Arabidopsis thaliana: one gene and its partner. The protein of the gene in region 1 purifies or fractionates together with the protein of each later gene. This does not show direct contact. Each region holds a gene or a part of one and is shown on either strand. Other genes may lie near its edges.

Region 1 (6,365 bases):
CACATTATTCAAGACCAGGCTATGCATTTTTAAGGCAGCCTCCAAGTAATCCAAGTAATGGATGGGAAACGGATTATGAAGTGATTGTGAGGAAGTATAAACAGAATGGGTATGGAGACGTTGTGCCGGAGATAGTGTTTTGGAACTTGAGGGATTCGAGAGCAACGCCGGTGCCGGGAAACAAGAAAGGAGTGGCTTTGGTGAGTGGCTTTTCGAAGAATTTGATGAAAATGTTTTTGGAACATGATGGAGAGATTGATCCTGTGATGATGATGGAGACTGCTATTTCTAAAGATGAGTATAAGTCGCTTGTTGTTGTTGATTAAGAAGCTTTACTGTTTTTTTGAGTTTGGTTTTGTATTCCTGTTTCATGGTTGAAGCTTCCATTGCAATTTTATTTTAATAAATTTGGCCCATTGATTTTACTTTTTTTTTCTGAACCAAGTAATCGATACGAGACCACTAACCTGGCTTTTATTCATCAATCGATGCTCTCTCTACACGTAACCTGCTTCAAAACACTCATAGTTCGCCGGAAACAATCACTCGTATCATCGGATCTCGGCGTTTAGAATTCAGAATCCGACGACTTTGGCGAGCAAACCTTACGCAAACTATGGATGGTATTGGAAATGAACGACAACAAGAACAACCGTTTCATTTACAGATTTACTTCTTCAAATGGGCTTTTCTTCTCTAAATGGGTTTACTACCTTAAGGGGCTTTTCAACTATAGGTTCAATTATATTCTTATGTAAGGGTACTAACTAGTGTGGGCTGTAAACGACTTAAAGTTTCGGCCATTTAGTTTTATGCAAGAAAAAAAATATAGATAATACAGTAATGATGAATCCACTATACATGTTAAATCCAATATAATAAATCCACTATACATTAGTGTTCTCATATTTCGTTTCAAGATTCGATTCAAAAAATTTGAAAATGTTAAATATGTGTTTCTGAGATTAAAGGCCAAAAGAAGGGTAAGGTCGTATATGAAAGGTGGACAGAGGGGCAAATTAGTCAGCTTGAAAAATACATCGACATTAAAAATCGGCAGCACTGACAAAACGTGTGATAACACAAATAAAAATAATCGGAAGAAAAAGAATAAATAAGGCGTATTGACTCTGGAACGTGAGAAGATGAAAGAGAGCGACGAAAACCTCTAAAGACTTATCGAGAAGTGCACCTTAGCCTAGTGAATAATGATATGTATTGACATTAACTACTACTACTACAGCTCCCAACACGTGAAAGACATGCATCTAACTCTTTCACTTTCGGTTGCCAAGAAAAAAAAAAAAAAAAAACTTTCACTTTCGGCATCAAATATATACTACTAAAAAAGTTTTTTATACGTAATTCTTTTTTAATATTTGATTAGTTCAGAATATTAATTAAAAAAATTACTTTTCGTAATCACTACATTTTGTAGTTATATGATTTTTAATTTAAAATAGTAAAAAGGAGAAATGTAACTAATTAAGCTAACATGCGCGCGATAGAATAAGGTGAAGTTTAAATTTGAGCACAAGATAGAAAATTGAGGTCAATTTAATTCGGAAGTGGTTCAAGGTATATTTTCACAAGAAAGAAAAACGTGAGTTCATTGAATCCCTCTATAACTTTACTTGAGAACAATGTAATAATATGTAAATCTGTTAGGAAACGAGCAGCCACATATGCTTTAAACAAGAGAACAAGAAAAAGAGCGGCCACATGTGAAAAAAAAACACCAGCCAAAATGTGAAACTAAGAAAAGAAAAGAAAAACCATCGACATCGTCCAAAGGATCGACCCGTCTTTTCTGGTTTGGCAGAAAACAAACTTCCAAGTTCCGACTTGACCTAGTCTTTATGCATCTGCAGTGGTGTTTTCTTTAAATCTTTTTTTGAATGGATTTGAAAATCTTATTTTTTCTTCTTCTTTCAAAACACTAACTGTGAATCACCACCAACATTTTATTGTTCTAAAATCCCTATTTGTATGTTTTATTGGTTACTTTCCCAAATATGATGAAAGTTTATTGGTGTACTTTAGTTTAGAAATGTAAGAAATTTCAGTTGTATTATTAGGTCAACCAAATATTATTCTTGAATAGTAATGTCAAATTTTGTTTATATTGAAAAATCAATAAGACTGATATCTACTAAATGTGATTTGCTATACTAGTAGAGCTAGTAGTAGCAAGATTAAAATTCATATTAAGAAAAAATGGAAAAGAAAAACATGTTTCGAGAAAAATATACAGATCAGAGACTAGAGTAGAAAACAAATATAATGTCAGAAGAACCCAATGTGACGAACAGTAACAGAAACATGTTACCAAATTTTTGAAGATATATTTTTATAAAACATTACAATGTTCATTGGACTTCCGTTATTTCCGGATATAAAATATCTTCTTTCTGCGTAGCAAGCAATTACATTACATTAGGTATATTAAGAATTTAAACATGTGTTTTGAATCATTAAATTAATTAGATAAGTAAGAGAAGAGGTTGGGAGCCTAATAAAAACAAAACAAAAAGGAAAAAGTGGATAGGTTGCCAATTGTGCCGAAAAGAAAGAGAAAGCATGAACCTCGTGCGTTAAATAAGTATCAGAGACATACTACATTTTAAAAACTCTCACATGAGAAATCAGAATCCGTTATTATTCCTCCATTTATTCATCTCAAAACCCATATCTCTCTGTCTTGATCTCTCTCTCACTTTCTAATAAGATCAAAGAAGATGTCGAAAGCTACCATAGAACTCGATTTCCTCGGACTTGAGAAGAAACAAACCAACAACGCTCCTAAGCCTAAGTTCCAGAAATTTCTCGATCGCCGTCGTAGTTTCCGAGGTTCGTTTGGTTTTTAGTCGCTCTCTCTTTTTTTTTTCTTGCGATAAATCGAATTTATTCATATGGAACTCCTGCAGATATTCAAGGTGCGATTTCGAAAATCGATCCGGAGATTATCAAATCGCTGTTAGCTTCCACTGGAAACAATTCCGATTCATCGGCTAAATCTCGTTCGGTTCCGTCTACTCCGAGGGAAGATCAGCCTCAGATCCCGATTTCTCCGGTCCACGCGTCTCTCGCCAGGTATTTTTGTCTTTCCGGTAAAGTTTTTTTTTTCTTTCTAACTTTTTTGGCGCTACCAGAAAAGACGAAAAAATTTGAAATTCAAATTTTCAAAACATTCATTTTCCTCAGGTCTAGTACCGAACTCGTTTCGGGAACTGTTCCTATGACGATTTTCTACAATGGAAGTGTTTCAGTTTTCCAAGTGTCTCGTAACAAAGCTGGTGAAATTATGAAGGTCGCTAATGAAGCAGCATCTAAGAAAGACGAGTCGTCGATGGAGACAGATCTTTCGGTAATTCTTCCGACCACTCTAAGACCAAAGCTCTTTGGCCAGAATCTAGAAGGAGGTTAGTATAATAAAAATAAAAATCACTTAGTGCTGGATTCTTCTAGAATTTTAGTTACATATTATTGCATGTAGAGATCTAAGAAGAGTTTGTTGTTAGAGAGGAATTGGTTGCTAATTAGTTTGGAATTAGATATCAAAGAGTTAAAGACTATAGTTTATGTCTATACGTATTAATATACGTTATTAATAAAAGTATAAACATGTTGTTTAATTTCTGATAAGAAACTGGTTTATGCGTGTGTATGCAGATCTTCCCATCGCAAGGAGAAAGTCACTGCAACGTTTTCTCGAGAAGCGCAAGGAGAGGTAATGATTCTTCAACAATCCAAGGATTTTTACCCCCAAATAATTAAAGAAAGGTTTTTATTTTTCTCTCTCTCGACCTTTTTTTTACTATAAGTTATTTAAGATAGTAATTATGGGTCCTGCCTCTTTTACTCTCACATACAACTTAAGATTCAACTAGTTTTGTTCAACAACGCACATGCTTATACGTAGATAGATAATGGAGATCAGTAGTAATATCGGTATACGTAGGTTACTATTGTAATGGAACTTTTAAAAAGCGCGTTGACTTTGAGTCTTTGACTCTAGTTCTGTTTGCTACACCGACAAGTTATATTTTTCAAAATGATGAGAAAACGAGGAGAAACACCGGAAAAAAATTTGAACTTTTACTTTTATCAGACCATACGGCCAAAGAAAGATCTGTATATTATATAAGTTATCACAAAACGCGGTTTCACATTTTCTTTTTCGTCTTGTTGTGTTTGCAGATTAGTATCAACATCTCCTTACTATCCGACATCGGCCTAAACGATCTCTTTTTAGATTGGGACATGGACCAAATTTGTCTTTTTCAATCGGAAGACATCCATGTTCGTTTTTGGATTTGGCTTATTTCCAATCTTCTTTTGAAGCCTTCTTCGTCGTTGCTAAATCGTATACTATTCACGACAAACGTTTTTAGGAGATTACGTTACCTACTAAGATTATATATATTGGTTTGTTTTTAAAAATGTCTATTATCTTTATTGTCATTGATAGCTTGATTTAAGAAGCTCTCTCTTATCCCGTGACCTTCTACTTTTGTTTTATTTTTTAGTATATGGTAAAGAAAATTATAACACGCCTCTTTTAGCTTCTCATGAAGCTTCCGTATCAGAGTATTATTAAAGGAAATGTGGCCATTCATCTTTGATTATATTGGTTGGTCTCTAGCTTGGGTTGTCCTAATTGTTATAATGGAAAACAGTTTAAGAAACACGTGAGTATTAGTTATATAATACTATCAAGTCTACCCGACTAATTGTGTCTTTATGTCAAAAGTCTTTTAACATGAGTTTGGTGGAATTTGTACATTGGAATGAAGATGAAAAGAAGTGGTAAAGTGAACGTACTTTGTGTGGCTTCTTTTAGACAATTACCCCTTTCATTGAATAGTATCCATCACTAGTACTAACAAAAAAGGGATGGCTGGTCCGGATTTAAGAAACAAAAACCACACAACCATTCACTGCGTCTTCTTTATCATTGAAACCAAGATACTGTAGCTTATTGATATGAAATAAATACCACCATGTGCATACGTGAGAGTTTTTTTATTACATGTAGTTTCTTAAAAATGTTTTCGTGTCTCTTTAAGTTGTGTCAAGTAAATTGCTTCTCATTTAATCTACTGCGATGACATAAACTTAGTTTGCACATTGCAATGGCTAATGAGAGTACTAAACTTACATCATGTTGTTTAAGCTTTGAAGATGGAATACCGTATATCAAGTTTTAATTAGTAGCTCTGATTCAGATGTTTGGTTTAGATTCAGATTCAGATTAGTCAAGTGTTTGGCTTTGGTCAAGTTGACTGCATAAGCCAATCCTAATATCTTTGATTCATCACGAGTAATTCAAATTAATTATTTGATTCGATTTGGTCCAACACCAACAGTTTATCCTGTTCGTCTGGAAAAAATCTAATATATCAACCAGCTATTTACATAGCATTCGGCCAAATCATTCCAATAGAATGAAACATCCTATATCAATCAACAGATCGAGAAAATGAATGTCCAAAAACAAAACCTGTACTAACTGATTCACATCAGTTTGGAAACAAACTTAAGAAACAGGAATACTTAATTTGAGGAAAATCCTTGTAAATTTGATTATAAAAAAAATTACTTGCTAGATGGCAATACAATCTGCGGAACTGAGAGATTTCATAACCCAAAAAAAAAGGAAATTGCATAATTTAAAATTCACCATTATCAGTTTTGAGCAAACAAAACAGAAGTTAGAAAAGAGATTGACGAATCGGGACATCAGTTTTAAAAAGCTCGATTTATATAATCCGCATGAGTTATAGGAAAGCACCGTTGTAGTGCAAAATATTCATCATCTGCTCCGATTCGTTCAATCAATTTTTTCAGTTGAAATTAAGATTCAGAAAAACAAGAGGAAAACTAAACACCAACTTCAAAACAAATTCTAGCAATCCTAGCTTAGAAATTCAGATCTTAAACATGGAATAACAAATAACGAAGAGTATTGAGAAGGAGAGCTAACGAAACGAATCTGAGTCTGTTGGGTCATCACAGCTACAGCCCTCTTTTATAGGGTGAAGCCTTTAGACTCAGAGAAACCCTAGTTTTGAATTTGGTTATCGAATCTGGGCCACATGGGTCACACTATTACACATTATTGGGCCGGCCCATATCTCTTTAAATTTGGTTTATCCAGAATCATTCGATCTCAGTTGGGAAAAACCGGTTTTGAATAAACCGGATTGGACACTACTCCACTACTTGTCTCCACTCTGCTCGTAATCCGCATGATCGTGTTCATGAGAATAATTCATGTTGCGCAGACTCGCAGATTGATGATCCGATGCAATCGCATTCGACAATGTGGGTTTTCTGTGAAAACTGCGGCATTGGATTTAGAA
Region 2 (7,364 bases), on another chromosome or scaffold:
TTTATAGATCCTTGTTTCAGAAAGCCAGATATAGAGAGAGGAAGCTCTCTAAGCCGAGGCATTGATCATGAAGTTATCGACATATTCTTTCCTGTAAAATATCAGAATTTATTTCTCGTAAAATAACAGAATTTCTTGCTTGATTATATATCCCATTGTTTGCATAAGAGAACAAACAAAAGGGGAAAACCCAGGACATTGTACCTTGCAGGAAGATGGTCGTGTGGGCGATTGTATGGTGTCCATACCGGTTCACCCACGAATAGCCGCATTGCCTGTTCAACAAGATATTTCAATTTTCTAAGCAAGCCCAAACTATAAAATAAATGGCTAGAAGAAAAGCTGACATTGCACCTTGATATAGTTGTCAGAGTCCACAGTGAAGCGATGATAGATCCCAGCAGGTAAGACTATCATACCTCCCTTCTTTACCAATACCCTAATCCAAGCTTCATTACGATCTCTCACATCAAAGTAACCTTTTTCCCAAGAAAATAAAACATGACTACTATATCGAAATTTTAAGTTTACGAGTAAAGCCGCCAGTAAAAGAAGTTCTTACCAGTTCCTGCAACGCAGTAACGGATCTCCTCATCAGTGTGTAAATGTTCTTCGAAAAAGCTCTTCACTTTCACTTCATAGTTTGGAAGCTTTTCCGGGCATACCTCACAAAAGTCCTGCATTTTGAACACTTTTTAATCATCAAACCAAGATTGAGAAAACCCCTAGAGAGTTAAAATAAGACTTGGACAAAAATAAACATCTACCATTCAAGTCTAGTGGGATAGTAAATAAATAAAGACCACAAACCATGTAAGAGTAACCACGAGATTCACGGATCTTTTTCAAATCCTCATCGGTTTCATAGTTATCAGCATCAAGTCTCCAGCTAAGTACTCCCAGCTCTGCACACAAACATTACATGTGAAACAAAATAGAGAAGCAGAGAGAACAACATTGAATTGAAACACACAAAGAGGGGGACCTGCAAGTTTGTCCAACGATACAAACTCTTTAGGATCCTTGTGGTGAGGAAGTCTCTGATCCTCTTCACTATCATCCATATACCAAGCTTGAATCACTTCTTCTCTCCCATCCTAAGCAAAAGCACATCAAGATGGGATTAGATTCCTTGGGAGGCAATGTTCAGATATTTTATATTTAATCTGATTTTAGCTTCAAAACTTCAGACAATTCGAGAAATCGTCAATTGCATAACTAAATTGAATACGAATAGGCATTAAACTGACTGCGAGATTTGAGCAAAAGAAGTAGTTATGATGATTCGAAAATCGTCGAAAATGAATCAAATCACTCAGATAACAATCGACGATTCATGCTTGCATCGCAAAACTAGGAATTATCGATTGGCATTAACAGATCAGAAGCAGAGGAGACAAAGATAAAAACATACCTTGACCGCTTCACCCATCGTGTTCCTCGTGATGTCTTAGTCCTTCTTCGTCTTCAAAACCACCCGATTACTCGATTCTTCTTTTTAAAACAGGGAAAAGATCAAATAAATAAAAATCTTTGGTTAAAAAGACTAAACTACCCTTATTTCTCAACTTTATAGAAGAATGTTGCAAATCTCAGACATATCACATACATCATGCCATGAAAATAGACAAATTAATTATCTCATACATATCAATCACAAAGAAGTTGTGTTACTTGGACCTCAAAGATTGGTATCATCAATAAGGTCTCTCTCATTATAAGACAAGCATTTACATAATACAAACCGCCACATCCTCTCTCTCTCTCTCGCGTCTCTCTAACCTACTCAAAACTACAGACCAAAAAAGATGGACGCAACCCGTAAAAAAAACAAAACCATACAAGACCCGCACTGATCCAGCTCAAATCTTTAACCCATGTTTCTTCCACAATGAACGAGAACATTCATTGTTTGCTTTCTTTCTTTTTGTACATGGCTAACATGTTATAAGAACATGAAATTGTTCTTCCCGCCTTTTGACCCGTAGTACCATCTCCAGTTCTTTTGGCACCTTGTTAATTATCTATAAAAAAGCGAATGAGAGTTTTAAGGGAGATCATTGGAACCATTTGACAAATGCTTGTTCATACCTTCGCTGTTTAGATCACTGTTTAGATCAACTGAGATATTGGGACTTTTTGTTTGATTTTCAGGTGACTCGCAATGCCCTGTGCCACTAAGGTTTTGTGAATATGCAGCGTTCATCCGTGGCTGACGATTCAGAAACATCTCCAAGCTAGAGGACGCAACTCCTGGAGCCTTCTTGGTCTTAGAAAATCTTCTGCTCAGAAAGAAAGGTATCAGTATTCATCGATTTGGAATAAGCAAGCACACAGCATAATAGCAACAACTACCTGTCTTTCCGCTTTTCAAGATATCTTTGCAACGATACTTTTCTGTTCGCCTGACCCTCAACATCTTCAGAAAAGACCAACAAAAAGAACAATAGTTAAATTAACAGAATTTCATGGTCGTATATCATGCAGAACAAGCAAGTAGTTTAGCGTAGCATGTAGAGGTGAAGAGGTGGACCAAATTTCGCTCTCAGGTGTTTTAAAGCATCATTGAATAATAGGATTTCATATCTTTAAGGTAAAATGAGTACTGTTTGTACCAGAATCACGAGAAGCAGGTGCCTTTTCAAGTCCATATTGGGGAAGCTCCACCATCTTCTCTGAAAAAATCAAATCACAATTTCAAAAAAAGGGGCACGAGGCATCTGTAGACACATAAGCTAGTAGAGGTAGCAGCAATTACAGCATTTAGACATGCTTCTTTGGTAATTTAACAATGCCTCCTTTCAAAATTGGACAAAATGAAAGGCCGTGTTTGACATAAGAAAGAAAGAAAGACTCATCTTGAGATGCAGCAGCTCTAGTCATTTTTTCAAGTTAGATTATACATTAAAAAAAAAACTCATTTCAAGTCTGAATCATCAATCTTTCAACTGAAAAGCAGATCAGACACTTTAGCAAATGCTTACCTTTACTCATGGGTTTCGAAATCATTCTACTAGAAGCAAAAATACCATTTTCAGGCAAATCAATTGGATTGGCTGCAAAATGCATGATAGACCGGGCCTGCAAATCAATACACAAGATGAATGATCAAAACCATACCATCAAAATTTATATTTTCAGGCTGGACAGAATTATGTGATTCATTTACCTTTTCAGGTGGTACTCCATCATATACATTCACTTTGCCACTATAAAATATCGTCATTTGCCCAACCACCGCATTTGTTTCAGCTGGGCTTCTGATGCAACATTACAAAAAAGCGTGTTTAAACAACTTAATTAAATAACATTGGAGTAGTAATTTGTTTATAAAACAACATGCACCTAATATCAATAAGACTTTGTACATGAACTACCCCTAAAACTCTTGTTAGTAATTGCAGAATTCACAAATCATATAGACTAATGGACTAAGTAACTGATTTATCGTTCACTAGCAATAATCACATCACATCATACCAATCCTCAAAACAGAAGAGTAAAGAGTAACACAGAACCAAGAAGATCTATCTGACTCTTTTAACCTAAATTCTGTGTGACCAATCCACCATCAAAACCATGATTCATATAGAAACTTTTCAATGTCTAAGACACTGATATCAAACCAAGTACTTATTCTAAGATCACAAACAGAATGTCACAATGCATCAGTTCTCTTCTTGAGGCATGAAAGCAGAAGAAAGATACCACACAAAGTCAAAACGCTATAGAAGAAAATGTAAACCTGGGGGAAACAGAAACAGTCTTGTGGCTATCTTTATCCGCAACAAACTGACCAGAACTACCAGAAAACTCAGCTGATCTTGGAGAATCCCTTCTATGGCACGCACCATCATCTTCCTGTAAAGGAATCCTTCCACAAGCTTCGAGCTCGTTCCTTGGCTCAATCAACGTTGTTGTAACCTGTGAACAAAACAGCAGTACACACAGAACAACAATTTTCCCTAAATCAGCACCAACCAAGTAAACGATTCTCTACTACTTCAGAACTTAGATTTTTCTCTGTAAATCGAAACAAAATCGAAGAACAACACTCACGCGAGGCGGATTTGGCGGCTGAGAAACAAGGATCTTGCGGAGGATTCCGGCGCCGGAATCATCTCCAGGTTCATAGAGAGCTTTAAGAGATAAAACTTGCTGGATCGCCTGAGATTTATTCCACGAAGGCCTGCGCATTCCTGTTTCGACACGTGTCAGCCGCCATTCTCCAGAGAGCGAAAAAAAAAGCTCGGAGAGAAGAAGAATAGAGAATTTCAAAAAATTGACTATGTACGATTCTTCTCAGCAAAATCCGTGAGGAAGATCCTACCGTCGAAGACAATAAGACCGGAAAAAAATGGAGAAAGGAAGAAGAAGAAACCTTTCTCTTTGAGGAATTTGCGGCAATCTTCGCGAGTAAGCTGAGAAATGTCTTCTTCAGTGAGAAGCTTCAGAGGCTTCTCAAGTATAGACTTCGCCGTAGTAACTCCTACATCCATATCCCTTGTCAGATTCCGGCCAAAACGGCCTCACCGGAGTCCCGACGAGAGAGCAGTGGCGTTTTCGTAATAATTGGAGGGTTTTGAGGGCAAAATTAGAAGAGCGAGAGAGAGAGAGAGAGAGAAAGAAAGAGAAAGAGTGAAGTCGCTAATAGTCTATGGGCTTCAATTTTAGGGGAATGGTTTTTGGAGCAGCGAAGCTCCCTAGACTGCCACGTAAGCATCCTATTAGTCTCTCTAGATTATAGCCTAATCATGCATTGCTTAAGTATCCCAATTATTTTTTATTTTTTGGGTAAATCTTATGCTGATTATTTTTTTCGCGTCAAACAGTGAAATAAAATAGTAAATGGTAACAGTTTTATATTAAATTTAAATATAATAATAGCATGAGTGATAAAGAAAAATGACACGAAAGAAAACAGAGATTATTTTGTAATCAGAGAGTATCTTGTTTGTTTATTACTGAGTGGATGTCAATTTATCTAAAATCGCATACGATCAATTTGCATGTGATATTTTGATTAAACAACTAATTATTTCTATAAATGGATAAGAGTTATTCCAAAAATAGAACAAAATATCTTTTGTGTTTTGTTTGTATACTACTTTAGTCTAGATGGACAATCATCAATTCTTGGTTAGTGTTTTTTTCCTGGTTTTACAATTCTTGGTTAGTATCTCTAAAAAATGGAAGATCATGTCACTTATACGATTATTACTTGTTAGTTAGCAGAACCTCCAGCATTGCAACACTTCAACATGTCACGCAATTTTTGCAAAAAGATAATCATTCCAAACATTTTTGCAAACAGACAATTTTCAGTTTAAAACAACCAATCAAACCCTAAATGTAATCATGTTAAATGAGTTTTTTTTTTCTTAAAAAAACATCTCATAAACATGTTAACAAAAAATTTGTTAAGCTAATTTACTAGTTGATACTTTTAAAATGGATTTAGCATTTGTTTGGCAACAACATGTGTGCTATGAATTGGATAGCAAATTAGCAATACAACAAAAACACTAGCACAAACCATTTACTTTTTTGTTAAAGGATCTAGCACAAACCATTATACTAAAAAATCTCTTCGATATCCATATTCAGTAGATCATTTAGATGCATGTAAATGAAAATGGCTCAACACATAAAAACGAAGACTAGTCATTTTCTGAAGTGAATACCAAAACAATTGAAAAATACAAGAGATAGAGTAATAAATTGACAAGACGAAGGAGGAGAAATATATTTTCACATGAGTCTGACCAATATCGATTCTCCCTTAAACCTTGCTTGGTCTTGCGTGACATCCCTTCTCATTATCCAATATATAAAGTGATAATTGATAACAATGCATGATACATGTAATTATACTCGTGATGTACGATAAGGATTCATCACTCAATTCATCCAATGTCGTAATTGTCAAGATATACATGCATGAATAAACGAACAGTTGAAAACTTCTTTTTAAAATATAGTTTCGTCATCCATACATACGGTGATGTCCCGAAAAATGATTAGATAAGCAAACCATATTAATGCAACTTTTTCTTTTTAGATTACTATGAAATTTGGAATACTGATCCATAATTTTTTTGAACAAGAGAATGGAACGTGTAAACATTTTATTTTTTTTAACATCGAAAGTCGAACTTTGTGACTTTGAAGTTAATTCACTCTCGTTTGAAGGTTTTTATAACTTACCAACAATTGATATTGAAATATATAATATTAATCAATGGTCTTCAAAAATCAAAACTATCTACCTTATACTGTATATGCATATACCATTTTTTTTTTCTTTATTGTTATTGTTAACCAGAAATTTCTAATTTTTGGCTCATAGTTTTATGTCCATGGACTAGCATTTGATAATATATACTTATTGCGATTCCACAAACGTAAATCATCTCTCTCCATATATAGCACTTAAGACTCGACCTCATATTTGGTAGTACTGTTACAATACCCTCTAGCAAGTTGACAGCAATTTTCAATTTGCCAATAACTTGTAAATCGTAAAAACTTAACATAAAAATTGGGATATAGAATTGACTATTGAGAGTAGTGGAAGATATGAGATAAAGAAGAGGGAAACAAAAAAAAAACAGAGTGGAAATAGGAAGAGTCGTTATCGAAGAAATGGATCCAAGTTGGTACCATACCTTTAATCTAAAGGATGCATCCGCCATTTCTATCGACACCACTCACCAAACCCTACCCAAATTTATTTTTTTCTTAAAGGTTTTTAAATTATATATTGTTGACTTTATTATGATGTGCTTTAAAAAAAAACAATATTGTGATTTTGTAATTGACCATGAATATGAGAGGTTTTGGAATATAACATATAGGTGAACTACTAGCCAATTGTTAGTCGGATTACTGGTTTAATAAGATGATCAGAACAACTAAACTTGTAAACTTCCATCGATTACAACAATCTTGTGAGGCTAACTTGAAGTAGTTCACCATTTTGGTTGGTGAACACTATATATGTCAATTTATGTTCTCTAATATATATTTTCTTGTTTGGTTTTCTCAATATGTGTTGTCGAGTCGAAAGTGATTAATTGATCGAGCTCAAGATCTTGCTATTAAGGCGAAGTAAAGATTGCAATTCATATTGCTGTATCCTAACAAATGTGATGGTCTCTTATCGTTCTAACATCTCTCTTTCAGATTTATATAAAAATATATATATTGTCTACAAAACTCATTCATCCACATCCAAAATTTAAAATTTGGATTATTACACAAAAGTAGATAAACCACTAGACAAATAATATCTAGTCGAATTAATTAAATTACTCGTCTAAATTATTAGCTTTTTAGATATATATATCTAAACTAAGGACTAA

Evidence for each region.
Region 2: the proteins of JAZ10 (region 1) and AT4G14720 purify together in Arabidopsis thaliana (affinity purification with mass spectrometry; 2 studies listed by BioGRID). This does not show direct contact.

What each region holds. Positions count from the first base shown.
Region 1 is NC_003076.8:4,216,263-4,222,627, forward strand, and holds JAZ10 (jasmonate-zim-domain protein 10), read left to right. Parts: upstream 1-2,565; 5' UTR 2,566-2,738; coding exon 2,739-2,850; intron 2,851-2,927; coding exon 2,928-3,422; coding exon of another isoform or gene 3,423-3,427; exon of another isoform or gene 3,428-3,672; coding exon 3,673-3,734; coding exon of another isoform or gene 3,735-3,777; 3' UTR 3,778-4,200; coding exon of another isoform or gene 4,201-4,240; 3' UTR 4,241-4,651; downstream 4,652-6,365. Other genes in the region: AT5G13210 (Uncharacterized conserved protein UCP015417, vWA), read left to right, coding at 1-326; AT5G13230 (Tetratricopeptide repeat (TPR)-like superfamily protein), read left to right, coding at 6,252-6,365. UniProt on the Arabidopsis thaliana protein: Repressor of jasmonate (JA) responses. Interacts with and suppresses RHD6 and RSL1 transcription factor activities to negatively regulate jasmonate-stimulated root hair development.
Region 2 is NC_003075.7:8,430,436-8,437,799, forward strand, and holds AT4G14720 (TIFY domain/Divergent CCT motif family protein), read right to left. Parts: upstream 4,671-7,364; 5' UTR 4,500-4,670; coding exon 4,382-4,499; intron 4,200-4,381; coding exon 4,060-4,199; intron 3,925-4,059; coding exon 3,746-3,924; intron 3,261-3,745; coding exon 3,170-3,260; intron 3,082-3,169; coding exon 2,985-3,081; intron 2,676-2,984; coding exon 2,616-2,675; intron 2,420-2,615; coding exon 2,356-2,419; intron 2,283-2,355; coding exon 2,048-2,282; 3' UTR 2,025-2,047; coding exon of another isoform or gene 2,017-2,024; 3' UTR 1,538-2,016; downstream 1-1,537. Other genes in the region: ARD1 (acireductone dioxygenase 1), read right to left, coding at 49-91, 205-275, 355-479, 563-677, 811-905, 986-1,097, 1,415-1,432. UniProt on the Arabidopsis thaliana protein: Regulates the arrest of dispersed meristematic cells during lamina development.